2 linked regions of the Notamacropus eugenii genome follow. The protein of the gene in region 2 interacts with the protein of the main gene of each other region in a biochemical or structural test. Links are inferred from orthologs where the notes say so. Each region holds a gene or a part of one and is shown on either strand. Other genes may lie near its edges.

Region 1 (7,525 bases), on a different chromosome or scaffold from region 2:
GGTACAGAAGCTTCCACACTTAGCTTGAAAAGATTCAGATGCATATGAACTGACCAGAAGCTTGTCATTGATCTAATTTCCTCCCCAACCTTCACCTTCTCTGTCTTCAGTCTGGTATAGTGGAAAGTACTAAGAGTTCGACTGGCAGATATAGTTGGACACCTGGTAGGTTCAAAGCAAAGCTTTGTATGCAGGAAAAGTGATACAGTACACATTATAATGAGTAGTAAAAATATGTAGCACTATCTTTCCATGTAACTCAACACTGATCCCCAAATCATAAACCAATTTGTATCAAAAAGTAGAGTAGGGAAAGAAAAGAGGAAAGCTATAATTCAAAAAATACTTAAAAAAATTAATTATCATTTACCCAATACCAGTTTTCAAGGCTTAGTATTTTGATAGCTTTTGTGCAACCTTTAAAATGCAAAGAACTGTTTTCCCTGCTGAATGAATATAGGAAATTAGTAAGGTCTAATTTCAGTTGTCTATAATGAGCATGTATAATTAAGATCTATAAATAATTATAAAAAATATACTACGATATGACTGGTCAACAAATATTCTGATTTCAAATCCTGGTTCAACTAGTACAATGCAGGAAAATGTCATATTTGAATAGTTGCTAGTGTTGCCTACATTGTAAATGATGACACCACTTACCTATAAAGCTGAAATGATTGTTTTGATAGAACTCCATATTACATGTTCTATATGCAGAAACTTCACAGAAAAGATTGTTTCAACTACATGTTTGTTATTGGGTTTAAATAAGAAGCTATTAAGGAAAAAGCAACTCTGAAAGTCTTCTCTGAAAAAAGAACAGTAGTATCTGCTTTAGTTCCATAGTCAGAATATGTCTCTAGGAGAAATTTATAGCATTGTTTGCATAAGTAATTATGCTAGATTGACAGAATATTAGTATATTCTGTCAGTCTAACTTATTGAGAATTGTAGAAATAACTTTTGGGTTGTTGCCTGGAGTTATTATCGAGAAATCACAGTTTACTTCTAAAGCCAAAATGGATGTTAGCTACAAATTGCATAAAAAACCATCAAAATTTTCATGGAAGTAAAACAGTCATCAATGCTTTGGTGCCAAAACACTAGATACCAAAAAAACCTGGGAACAAATGAGATGATAAATGGGAAGGTGTTACAAGAAGTAGAAAACTCTAGACAAATTGTTCCCAAGTTACAACTTTGGGTTGTATTCCAGTACTTGGTTGACACTCAGCTTTTTTTCTCATTTAGACTTTTACAAATTTTTAATAGATTCCTAGGCTAGCCCACAAAAGCCTCTTTAATAAGAAAAAAGTGACAAAGCAAGCCAAGACAGGGTCCCTGAGCTCTGTCTTTTTATTTATGTGGTATTTTAAATCTTATTTACCTTTCCTGTTGAGGGAACAGGAGGACCATCATGGCCATTTATCTACACCCTGTTTGATTAAGCTCTGGTTTAGAGACTAGGTCAAGGAACAGAGGTTCCTTTGCTATAATAAGACCAGTGCAGACTAGTTTACCAGCTCACCGTGGTGTTGGCCTATGACCCTCGGAGACTGTGCCCCTGCCCAGTCTCTAGTATCTTAGATCAGGGTTGGGGATTCAGTTAAAGAACTTTACTTGAGGACCTAGACGGGCACATATAGCCTCTAGGCCGCAGGTTCCCCACTGCTGCCTTGGGTAGCAACAGTGAAGTACATCCATGAAAACAGTTGTTGCTACCTGGTGGCTGGAGTTGATATTCTGTTCCATGGAGCACTGCCATGGCTGTTCACATGGAAGGGACCTTGTAAACCAGGGGTTTGTAAACTAAGGCATTGCTGCTTTATAAACACTAAATAACCATCAAACAGGGGATATGGAATAATTAATAAGAGATGAGTTGGGGCAGCTAGATTGAGCAGTGGCAGCAGAGAGGGCAACATGAGATGGAATACTAGGTGTATCTAAACTACACGTGTACTAAATGTAGCTAAACTTTTATTTTATCCCAAAAAGTGCAGTTCCAGATTGTTCTCCAAAGGGAGGAATTTATTCAGCATGGACACTTATACAAGGTAGAGACTAATTTCAGGCATATGGGGAGGAGGTACCTAAAATTTAAGAAAATTGCTAATAGTTGTACAAAAACTAGGCTTCCCTGTGAGAAAGTTCATTGCCAGTTATTGAATTTGAGTTAGGGCCATATGTTCACTTTGCCTTTTTACCTCTGTGGTTGAGCCTATGTGGTTGTGTTGTTAAGTAGGTGTGTATACAATGCAACCTGAAACACTAAAATAGTGCTGCTTGAACCAGCTTAAAATATAACTGGGAAATAGTTAACAAAGACAATAGGACAGTTAATATTTTTTTACATACTTGTCAGTCAATACACGGCCCACAGGGATCCTTACGTACAGTATAATAGTTTGATTCCACTGATGTAGAGTGTATCCAAAGCTGAACTAAATGACTGTTAACATACCTTCTAATTCTAGGAGTGAGGAGAGGATAGACAGAGGCCCCTGATTCACAGCTCCAGCGTTTGCTAGGAATTGGAAGAGATATCTCATTCTTCGCAATGCTTTCTGGTTCCTGGAAGGTACCAGAGTCCTGTCCTCGGAGCTTACAGTTTAATTGGGGAATGCAGATACACAAGCACTCATGAACTCAAAAGATAACTTAACAATATAGGGTAGTATATTGGTATTAGATGACTGATAACAGTTTTAGAGTACCTCCTTTTCTATTTCATTTTTAATAAACCAATGGTATTCACTCTCCCACTTCTAGTAATGACTACGGCCTCCCATATCCTAAAGACTTTGATTTTTTTAATGATTAAATTCAGTTAAACGATTTACTTAAATGTGCAAGTTACTGCATGGGTAGGGGGAGATGGTTCTTGTCCTCAAAGTGCTTATGTTCTAATGGAGGAAGACAATACATCGGAGACTGATGACTGGGGATGGTGTTTTGATTAGGGGAATCCCTAATCAATAGTCCTGAACTGGTTTCCATTGTTAGCAGTGGAAAGCAGAGATGGGCAAATGGTGCAAGGTGAAGGTATGGCGCATGAAGGTGGCTGTGGAGCAGCACTGTGCTGGGCCCAGGTCCAACTGGTCTCTCAGTCAGAAGCCCAGGATCTTATGATAGGAATTGGAAGGCCTAGTCAAATGTAGATAAGAAAAAGGAGAGTTCTGAAAGGTCAAGAGTAGGAAGTGTCTCTAGTTAGAACCCACACAATCCTGGAAGGCTGCTTAAGTTTTCTGAGAGCTTTCTAAGATTTACTTGCACCTGCAGACATGGTTCACTCAGTTACTAGCTGGGGTTGGCTTCCTGTACAACTTCTCAGCCCCTTTACTTAAACCTTCTGCAAAGGCAGTGTGGTTTGGGTTTGGATCCACCTCCCAGACATCCCAGACTTTCCTTCAGTTTACACCATTTCCCATGGAGGTGACTGTGGGAGAACCTGTGGTTTGGTCAGAGAATGAATCGTCAAGAATGGATTTATTCAAAATGCAGAGCCTCTGGGATATTCTTTGGTCTTTTCAGATGTCTTTATGTACTGGTGAAGGGCTTTCTCAGCAATAATTTACTAGTGGTGAGTGGTTTTATGAGCTGCAATCCAGCACCTACTGGTTTGATACCACCAGTACCAGCAATGAACAAGAGGGTGTCTTTGGATAGGAACCCAGCAGTCCAGCTGTTTCAATAATCACAGGGCTCAGGTTTAGAGAAACAAAACTGAAATAAGAGTGAAACACTGGGTGGCAGCAAAGGCTTACGGATTTCATCAAGTTGGTGCTGTCTCATTTTGTTATACAATCAGGCCATGCATCCTGTTTCTCTCACAGTTGAAGCTGCCTTTAAACTGACTTAGCCCACACCAGGAAGAACTACATTTAGGACCAGCGTGGTTGTGCTCATCTTTCTCTTCCTGACTTTTCTACGTCCTTTGCCACCTTTGACCCTTTCACAGCGGAATGCCATTGCCTCTCTTTTGCAAGAAGAAAAGGTCTTGAGTAATTTTGACAAAAGTCAGAAGTTTGAGACCATGAAAGAATGAGAGGGACGTCGCTATCCACTGTGCTTAGTGAGCATGTACGTTCTGAACGGAAATCCTAGGTGGGGACCCATAGGAGGTGACAGGCAAGGGGCTGTTCCCCAAAGACAGCCAGAGTCAGGGTTCAGGCCAGTCGCGCTCAGGCAGCAGGGTGTGACACACTGGGCCGTGCCGTTGGACAGTGGCTCTTGGGAAGGCACATGCAGGTTTAATCAGGAGTGATTACACAAAGTGCCCCAGTGCGACTCAAGTGGGTCATTGCATGTTCACATCCTTCCATCCTTCTGCGCACCTAAACGTACCCTCATTTCTCCTCAACCCAGCATTAACCCTTTCCTTCACCCCAGCTGGTCCTGCAGCCAAGGCCGGGAAGACCTTGACAAAGCCCAGGAATCCCAGCTCGGGGCTCCCCTCTTCCCACTGGCCCACCCCCTCCCCTCCCGAGCTCCAGCTGCGGGGCGGGGTCCTCTCTCTAGCCTCTCCTACTCTCCCCGCGGGGTACCAGGCAGCAGGTGCGGTGGCTCGGGGCTCCATCCATCCCTCCTTCCCCAAGAGGAGCCACCCAACTTCCCACCTGGGTAGAGGGGCCGAAGACCTCGGTGGGGAGGTACCCTGCGGGCCAGGAGGAGGAAGAGGGAGGTGTAGGAAAGAAAGGAGGACCCGCCCCCACCTCTCAGCTCCTTTACGGGAAGTGATGTGGGGCCGGACGGAACAGACCCGCCGGGGACCCAAAAAAGGGCAGGCGGCGGAGTGGGCGCTGAGCGCACTGAGCGTGGACCCGCAGCTGCTTCGGGCACGGGACCCGCGGACAGGTAAGGGCCAGGCGGGCGTCTCCTTAGAGATCCGCCCAGGGAGTGGGGCTGGGCGTCGGAGGCTGTGAGGGGCATCTGGCTGGTGCGCTTCCAGGGAGGCGGTGCCCATTTTTCACGGGTGACTGCGGATTGTGGTGGATAGTGCCATAGGATCCGCCAGTGTTCTGCCTTGGACTGGGGAGGTCGGACTAGGGGGGCATGGGGGTGGGCAAAGGTGCCCTGCTTCACCCCTAGACCCCAGCCCTGAGGCTTCCCGGGACTGAGCCTGGAGCTAAATCCCCAAGGACAGACCCTGAGGGATGACACCTTTTTAGGGGAGGCGATCTAGGGTCGGCCGGAAGACTAAGGCATGGATTCCAGATTGAGGAGCTTGGTTGGTGTGGCTGGAGACTTGGCTGGGTAGGGAAGATTGGAGGGCAGAACTTAAGACCTACCCTGGGCTATGTATCCAGATGTTGGGAAAGGAGAGAAGGAACTTAGAAATGTACAGGAAGGAAGAAGGAAAGCCCGGAGATTTGCTTTCTTCAAGACATCTTATTTTGCTTTTCATTTTATTTCTTTACCACCTGTAGAGCCCAGTTGGCGGAGTTTGGCCCTAGGCAAACCAGGGATCTCATTCTTTCAGTCAGCTTCCCTGCAACTGGGTTTATCCACACTTGGGCTTTGAGGTTGTGCAGATGTCTGGAATCATCTTTTAAGGCCAAAACACTTGTTCTGAGAATCCCAATAAGTCAGTGGTGTGTGTGTGTGTGTGTGTGTGTGTGTGTGTGTGTGTGTGTGTGTGTGTGTGTGTGTGTGTGTGTGTGTGTGTGTGTGTGTGTGTGTGTGTGTGCGCGTGTGTGTGCGCGTGTGTGTTCCAGAGTGTCACAGCTCTCCTCTCTCTGTTCGACTTGAAAGAGGAGGATGGTAGTGGGGATCTAAGCCCTTTGGTGGTTCATGGCCTGTTCAGTGGTCTCTCTTTCCATTACTATTCATATGCTGTGCTGTTCAGAGCATCAAGGTGCTTTTCATTGTGAATAAAATAAGAAGAATTAGATAAGAAATACTAGAGTGAACTTCTGTTGGCGGGTAGCAAGGTGTGTAGGAAAAAAAATCATATTTGGGATCAGGAGACTTGGACTCCAATCCCAACTCCCAAAACCACTTTATGTTTTTGGCCCTCAGTTCCCTCTCCTAAAACAAGGATACAGGATTTTTACTGATCTACTCGCAAGGTTCTTTTGAGGAAAGCACCTTATAAACACTAATGGAAAATTATTTTTTGTCTTACTCTTCCCCCTTTTTGTATGACATGTTCTCTTATTAAACTTTAGTTCCCTGGGAGAAAATGTCTATTCTATCTAAATTTTATTTTATCTTTCCCAGAAATATAATAGTGATCTGGTCAGTAGGAGCTTAATAAAGGTTTATTGAGCTGAATTAACCTTTCTCCCTTGGTCTCCCACTGTTCTTGCTCCTTGGCATCCTGGGAAACTTTAGGTTCTCAAACTTGTACCTTGCAAAACAAAATTCACCTCTGAAAACAGACCACTGGAACCAAGAGAAATTTTGCGTTTGGTTTGAAATTAGGAGTCATCGTTAATATTTAAGTAGCCAGAGCCTCAGCTTATAAACAAACAATGAGCTGATCTAAGTATGGAGACTAGGCTGTTTGCTTACAAAGCATGTCTTAGTTTAGTGGGAACAGCCTTCTTGTGCCCAGAAAACTTATAATGTATACAGAAGAAAAATATAAGACAGGGAAAATGGAGATCATGGTGTGTAGTTCCTTTTTTTTAAACCAACCCTTTTTTTGTAAACTAAGCAATCATCAACAAACACAAGTATTTCAACACATAAACATAAAAAGTTTTGTCCATTTTAAAAAGGATGACAGATACAGTCATGACTACTACCTACTTTCTTGATCCTCTACCTGGATCTCTACCAAAGGAGGGATAAGGGAAGAGGAAGAAAGGAAGGTATTTTTTTCTGGAGCGGTGGAGTTTGTCTGTGAGAGAGAATGACAAAAGTATGCACCTCTTCCCCTACAGTGACCAGATTGGGCAGGGTAGGCCAGAGCAGAGGAGGGTTGGACAGCTTTGTGTGCTCCAATGGATGCATCCTTCTATGTGGTGCTTGAATACTGGGCATGAAAAGATTAAACCTGCTCTTTACTGCCCATCGTCTCCATTTCTTCCTCAGTGGCAGTGAATCTTTTTGAAACATCAATCTTTATTTTTTACTCAGGATTTTGAAGCCAAGTTTCTTTTACGGTGTATAAGATGAACTCTTCTCTTCTGAACTCCTATAGCACTTCCTCTCTGCATCTCTCCTTGTTGGAATTTGTGGTTTTGAAGATAATCCTCTTTGTGATTTCACCTTATCAAGGAAGACAGATCATGTGTAGCCTCATGAAATGGGAGGGAAAGCTCCCCCATCCCACCCTTAACATAATGCGTTCTTTTTATTTATAATGAAAGAGACACTATCATAGGTTTGGTGCAGTAATACTGAAAAGACTAAAAGTTAAGACAATGTTTTAAGACTTGGGGCAGCTAGGTGGCTCAGTGGATAGGGTGCCTGACCTGAGTCAGGAAGACTTGAGTTCAAATTTGGCCTCAGACACACACTAGCTGCGTGATCCTGGGCAAATCACTTAACCCCGTTTGCCTCAGTTTCTTCA
Region 2 (7,216 bases):
ATGACTATAGTGAAAATGTATTTAACAGGAATGTATGTGTAGAACCTATATAAAGTTGTATGCCTTCTCAGGGAGGAAGGGGAGAGGTGAGGGGGAGAGAGGGGAAAAAAATCTGGGTTTATGGTAGTGATTGTAGAACACTGAAAATAAATAAAATTAATTAATTTTAAAAAAAGAAAATGCAATCCTGATTTTCAGAAGAGGCAGTTGGAAGGCTGGACCTAGGGGCAAGAGCACCACAGTTCAAATCCCATCTTAGCTGTGCAACTCTGGGAAAGTCATCTCACCTCCTAGCGCTAGCATCCTTATCTGTAAAATGAGGAGAATAAGAGCACTGTTTAGAAGGCAGTTAGGTGGCATGGTGGAGAAAGCCTGGAGTCAGGAAGACCTGAACTCAAATCCAACTTCAGACATTTACTGGCTAAGGGAACCTGAGAGAGTCATTTCACCCATCTGCTTCAGTTTCCTCAACTCTAAACTGGGGACATAATGGCACCTACCTCCCAGGGTTGCTGTGAAGACTAAATGAGATAACATTTGTAAAGTACAGGCACTGACTAAATGCTTGTTTCCCTCCTTACTTCACTGGGTTGTTGTGAGTAACAAACAGTACAGCCTACAAAACACTTTGTGATTATTCTTCTTCCTCCAAGCCATTAATAAAACTGAACAGAAGTGAGCAAAGGGCAGAGCCTGATGGCACACCACTAAATACTTCTCTCCAGTTTTTCAATAGAGTGCCAAATAATTACAGATCCCACCTACTGTTCCTTCATCTTGCTTACCCAGATATCATAAAAGACCGACAAATGTCCTGCTGATAGTCTAATAGGAAATCACCCTGCTCAGGAGCATAACAACGCCCTCAGAGAAGAACGAGGCTTTCGTGCAGCTTGGATCCTTCTTCAGGTTTGGGTTTTTGTCATTTCATTGATGCTTTCCATATACAATGAAGTCATCCCGGGATATAAACCCCACTTCCATTCCCACTTCCCATAAATACTCACTTGAAACAAAAGAAAAAACAGTTAAAGCAAAGTTAAGAGACACATTGATGGAAGAGGACAAAGCATGAGATCTCTTCCCCTTCCTCCTTCCTGATGGGGAGGAAGCAGAGCATGAAATGTTCTTCATGACTGATGGTTCTGAGTGTTCCCCACTTCCAGCCTTGAATCTGGAAGACCTGGGTCCAAGTACTGCCTCGGAGATATACTGGCTGTGTGACCCTGGGCAGTTAGCTCTCTAAGGTTCTGAGTGGCAGAGCAGGGGGATTTTGCTTTTCTCCCCTCTCTCTTTCCAAGGTTCCCTGGTTCAGTTCATCTTTCCCCTTTCCCCCTTCAGGGTTCCCTTAGGTGCTCTGAGCCCCACCCTCACATCTCATCTGCCTACAGTAGAGTTTCCTCTCATGGGGAGTTGGGTACATTCATTAAATTAAAGGTCTGGCCCCTCTTTCCCCAGATCAGCAGGCTCTCAAATCCACATTTACTACACCAGGGCTAATGCCATCTTTCCTTCTTCTGATACCTGATTTTTTTTTAAAGGCTATTCAAGTCACCGTAATTGGTTTTACTGAGCCCACATATTTATTCAACTAGGGCTAGATGCTATGAAAGGCAATCATCTCATTAAACAACAGAAGTCTGGGAGCTTTTTCTATTGGAAAACATATCTTTCCCAAGAATCTCCCAATGCATCTCGTGGTGCTTGGGTTAGGTGGGTAGGTTGGGGTTCTGAGGATTTAGCCCTTCCTTGGCGGGAAGGAATCCCCCCCAGTGGCTAAAAACGCTCCCAGTTACGACTGTTAATGCTCTGTGCCTCTTTTTCCCAGAGTGATGTTTCAGGCTTATACTGTCTGGTCTGGAGGACCAAGGAAAATGACCTCAGTCCTCCAAGCCAGCCTGCAGACCTCTCCCTAAATATTTCTTAGCAGCAGACCTTCAGCCCCAGGAGGAACGGACACTGCCTTGGACCATCCTGCTACACAAAAAGCCTCCGAACTTTACCTTGGCAGGGGTAAGGGAAGGAAGAGGAGATGCCGTAGATCAGCCTCTAAGGTCCTCCTGACGGTCCAACGATCCAGAGGGGATCTGCGAGGCACAACCTCAGGCCAATCTGTGCTGAAGGGAAAGGAAAGGCTACCCTCAGCCAAGGTGGGATGCTGGTTCATGCTCCCTTTCCCCTCAAAGCGCACAGGGAGACAGTATTCTGACAGGAGACCTGAGGGGTGGGGCCCAGAGCACCCAAGAGAGCCCGGAAGGGGGAAGAGGGAAAGATGAGCTGAAGCAGGGAAACTTGGAAAGGGACAGGGAGCTGGGGGAAGTAAAATGCGCCAGGGGAAGTCTAGGAACGGGAAGGCACCAGTCAGGAAGGGGCAAGGGGGTGCTCCCTCCCGGCAGAGTGAGCATCACAGGACTGTAGCTCTAGACCTGGAAGGGACCTTAGAGGCCACCTACTCCAATCTTCCCTCATTGTACAGACAAGGAAACTGAGGCAGGGGAAAGGGAGTGACTTATCTAAGGACTCAGAGCCGGTTAAATGGCACAGCTGGATTTCCAACTGACCCCGACGGTCGGGGCGGGTTTGAGTGGAGAGACCAAGGAGTCAAAAGCTCCGGGGAGAAAAGAGTGGGAAGGACAGAGGGTGGAGAAAGAAGGGGCAGGAGGGAACAAGCCCGAGGGCGAGCGGAGGAAAAGGGCGGAGAGAGCGGAGCTGAGCCGGGAGCAGCGGGAGCGGAAGGGGAGGGCAGGCCAGCCTGGGCAGGGGCCCGGGGCCAAGCCGGGATGGAGCCTCTGAGAGTGGGGCGGAGGAGCCGCGGAATCACCTGGCTGGAGATGCGGGGAGCGGTGGGACTTCGGCAGGGGCCGGAGATCAGCGGGTCGGGCTTTCCCTCTGGCTCTCGGTTTCTGTATCTCTGTGGGTCCCGTCTCTCGCCCAGGTCCCGGCTACCGCTAGCCGCCAGTGGCTCGGCTCGCGCAACCGAAGCAGGCGGAAAGGGACACGACTTTCCAGGGAGCGGGGCGGGGCCGCTTATTTAAAGGGAGCCGGTGACTCCGCCCCTTAACTCTCGGGGAGGCCCCACCTCCACCCCCCGCGCTCCGGCTCGCGATTGGAGAAGCCCCGGGCCTCCCCCCTCCCGGCTTCGAGCTGGCTCCGCCCTTGCCCTGCCCTCCCGACGGCTCGGGCAGGCTGGATTTCTAATGAGGGCGTGTGTGCCTGTGTGTGTCCGTGTGTTCGTGTTCCGGTGTGGCCCGTGTGTGCGCCGGCTTCGACGGGGAATCGAATACATCTTTTGGGGATACGTGCCCACTCGGTCTGCTAGGACAAACAAGTGACAGTCTAAAATGCGGCTGCCTACCGAGGCACAAGGCTCCCAGCTGTCGGGCCAAGGCCCTCGCCCCTTCTTCCAGCCCCCAATCCAGGGGACAGTCACTGCCACTGCAGGCCCTAGGGCTCCCCCAGAGCGTGCCAGTGAGCCCCCTCCAGCCCCCAGCCCTGCTCCTCGGAGACTGTCCCAGCAGCAGGCCAGGAGATCCCTGCTCCACTTCAGTATGGGTGGATTTGTGACACCACCTGCCCAGGCAGGATTTTGTTTGGCCATGTTCTTCTCCCAAGGCCTGGGACCAGTCTTGCTCCCTAGACTTGTCCCCCTACTCACCCTACACAAACACGCCAGGCAACAGCGACCAAAACCAAACAGAATACCTCAATGCCAAGGAGCGAAGGCCTTGTAGAACCCAGGCTACACTCAAAGAGCATCCTGTAGTCTCCCTAAGGAGTCAGAAGCAATTCATTCTTCAGCCTTGACAAACCACAGGAGCAGGCCTGGTAGGTCTGCCTTCTGGGTAAAGAACTGGGATATTTAGTAAACAAAAAAAACAGACCTCCCCATACAGGAACAATCAAAGTGAGGACCCTTATGTCTTAAGATCCCAAAGCAACCTCTAGGGAGGAGGGGACTACAGATGTATTACTATTTCCCCTTGATAACAAAGGAATGAGACTTGGAAAGATGATAGGGACTTGCCCAGGGCCACACAGCCAGTGAGTGTCAAAGGTGGGATTCCTGACAATTCACTCCAACTAAGCTTCCTCTCTGACCAGCATATGCAGAGTGCTACCTCCTGGGTACAGACTTGTGGGTTCCTCCAGCCCTCATTTTAATACTGGAATCCGACAACCACAGCCACAAGCGTAAGTGTTCTAGGAATGGAGGACCTGAAAGTCTATGTTGAAACTCATTACAAGCAGGCTGGGTTCTTCACACTAAACTAGCCCTTTCCTGAACTGGAGAACCACTGGCACCATGAACACTGCATGGTCTACCTCAGTCTAAGCACCATTTGCCAGTCTTGCAGCCTTGCACCCTAAAGCAGGGTTAGCCTGTGTAACTCCCTCCTGAGTGGTCAACAAGGGCCCCTGCTAAGATCATGGAGAATAACGGAGAATGGGGTGAGAGCTCCTGTGGCTCAGGGCTTAGTCTGGGCTCCCAAGGCAGGCAAAGAAATATCTGAATATCTGAACTCAGTGGCCTGTTTTGGTTGAGAGCTACAAAATTTAGACTCATTGCTAAGTTAAAGAATACATGATAGTCCAGATTTGGTGGTATAGCCATTTATAGAGAGTTGTATCAATTTGCAAAAGGCCAAATGGACCTTTCGGAGATGTGCAAATGAAACAACAAGAAAAACCATTAGCGCTGACTTAAGTCCAATGGAGAAGACCCTTTCTTGAGTAGGAAAGAGTTTTGCTTATCAAAATGTGTCCAAACAAAGCCCTCAGAATGAAATGCTTCACAATTGCCTTCAAAATGTGTCTTGTGTTCATACTCACATTGTGATGACAGGAAGTCCAGGGTAAGGACACCAGAATATCTAACAGCCCTCGCTCTAGGAAAGTCTGGTTTTGAATAGACCTGAACAAGAGATAACCGAAAGGGAAGAGCCTTCTGCCCAGTGGCTGACATGCACTCGGTCAGCAGGTCTCTTACCCTCGCCATGCCCCAGGTAATTTTCTTAATTAAGACTCAGTTACAGACACTGGGCTGATCTGCACAGAGAGAGGGAGCTTCCTACAATAGAAGCAATTGCAGGTGTGGAGAAACAAAAAAGGAATCCCCTCTCCCTCCCCCCCCCCCCCCACTCGCATGGGGTCCTTCTGGCCCTGTCATATACCTACAAATGGGCAGGTTTCCATATATACATCTTAACAAGAAAGAAAACAGTAAATCAGGCTGGGAAAATGCTTGACTTCCTTCAAGAAAAAGATGCTAAACTGTGGGTGCCCAGCCCAGCCCTCTCCAGGAATCCACTCTTTCCTTTCCCCTATCGAGAAAACAGATACAAGGATTCCCATTTTCTGATATATTTAGGAAACTGAAGTTATCGAACCAACTGAGGTCTCTCCCCTCCATGGCAGACTAGCATGCTTGCCCTGAGTCTGCCCATCTACTAGCACCTACACTATACAAAAGATTCTGCCTTGCCTCCTTCCACCTAGATAGAGGCCCATTGAAGGAGACAGAGAAAACGCCTTCTTCTGCTGTTACCCTGCCCTTTTTACCTTTACCAAAGGTGTGTCCAGACCTAGAAGTTCATGTTAGCCTCACAGAAACCCTGGTGACTAGGTGGTGCAGGGATCGGTGTACCCACTGAAGAGACGAGGAAATGGAAATGTAGAGCCTGTAGGTACCATAACCCAGCTGAGACCCAAAGCTGGGGCTTCTGATCCCTGACCCAGAGTCTGTCACTGGGCCAGAGCACCTATGCTCATTTCCCTTTCCCTGTCTACTTCTGGTTCCCAGTGTTTCATGGGTGAGCATGGAGAAAATGTTCTCCAATTCCAAACGGTTGTTTCTTAGGCAATGAAGAATTCAGCAACGAGAGAAAAGTGCCTGGGGACACAGGAAGTTTGGGAAAGAGTTCAGAAAGACCAAAGACAGAAATGGGAAGCAAAAATTGACCTTAAAAACATTTCTCCCTTTCTTTTTAAATTTCACGGGGATTTTTTTTTTTCGAAAATGGAAATGTTTTGCAGAACTTCACATGTATAATATATAATATTGTTTGCCTTCTCATTGGGTGGGGGAGGGAGAAAATTTGGAACTGAAAGTTTAAAAAAATGTCAAAAATAAGTAAAATAAAATTGATGGAGGGTTTTCTGCTTTGCCACTTTCCAGTGAGTCTTAGTTCCTTCACTCAGTTCTGAAAACAACCTTCCTTTGTAACAAAGAGTTACAGTGAAGCAAAACGAATCAACATATTGGGCATGTCTCACGATGTAAGCCATATTCTGCACATGTAATCCACCACATCTCTACTGAGAAGGAAACGTTTCATTTTCAATCAGTCCTCCAGTTACAATTAGTTACTACAATGATTGTTTCTGATGTCTAGAAACAGATGTTGAGAACCAACCAGTGGGGATGACTTCCAAAGTTTTTTCATTCTAAAATTTCACAGAAATTTCCCTAGTTTAATTGTGTGTGTGTGTGTGTGCATGTGAGGAGGTGTTTTGTTTTGTTTGTTTTTTGCTATTATAGAACTTTTCCCCTTTTGCTGTTCCAGAACTAACTTCCACAGACGTGCCTCAGTTTCATTACCTAAAAAAATAATCTAGGAATTTTACCCATTTCTCCGTCAGAAACACACACAGATTTCCAATGTCCATTCTTCTGCATATTCTTGTTAAGTATGACAGTCATTAATGACAATTACAGCAATTACATAGCCGTAATCAAGGTTGTTCTTCCGCTTCTGCTCAAAACCTCCCAAATAACTCAGCCTTCGGAGATAGTAGGGCCACTGAGGCTGTTAGAGGGCTGGGCCTGGAGCCAGGAAGACATCTTCCTGAGTTCAGATCTGGCCTCACACATTCACTAGCTGCGTGACCCTGGGCAAGTCACTTCCCCCTCTTTGCCTCAGTTTCCTCATCTGTAAAATGAGCTGGAGAAGGAAATAGCAAATCACTCCAGTATCTCTGCCAAGAAAACCCCAAAACAGGGTCACAAAGAGTTGGAAACAACAACAGAATAGTCTCTACCCATCCTAGGAATAGTCTTGAAAAAAATACAAGAGAAGGGGATAGGTAAACTTTCACGAAAGCTGTCCTAGAATAGGTCACCTCTCCAGTCAGACAAATGCTTGAAACATAAGGATAATATAAATGTTTATTATTGATTATAAGAAAATATTTGATTCAATAGAGGAAAATGCAACCT

Evidence for each region. The genes of interacting proteins can lie anywhere in the genome.
Region 1: the proteins of SYTL4 (region 2) and RAB27A form a complex in vitro, tested with the Homo sapiens proteins (2 studies listed by BioGRID). The link is inferred for Notamacropus eugenii from reciprocal best matches to the Homo sapiens genes SYTL4 and RAB27A.

What each region holds. Positions count from the first base shown.
Region 1 is NC_092872.1:141,477,311-141,484,835, forward strand, and holds the start of RAB27A (ras-related protein Rab-27A), read left to right. Parts: upstream 1-4,511; 5' UTR 4,512-4,860; intron 4,861-7,525. UniProt on the Homo sapiens protein: Small GTPase which cycles between active GTP-bound and inactive GDP-bound states. In its active state, binds to a variety of effector proteins to regulate homeostasis of late endocytic pathway, including endosomal positioning, maturation and secretion.
Region 2 is NC_092879.1:92,448,941-92,456,156, forward strand, and holds the start of SYTL4 (synaptotagmin-like protein 4), read right to left. Parts: upstream 3,010-7,216; 5' UTR 2,822-3,009; intron 2,118-2,821; exon of another isoform or gene 2,113-2,117; 5' UTR 2,004-2,112; intron 1,007-2,003; 5' UTR 1-1,006. UniProt on the Homo sapiens protein: Modulates exocytosis of dense-core granules and secretion of hormones in the pancreas and the pituitary. Interacts with vesicles containing negatively charged phospholipids in a Ca(2+)-independent manner.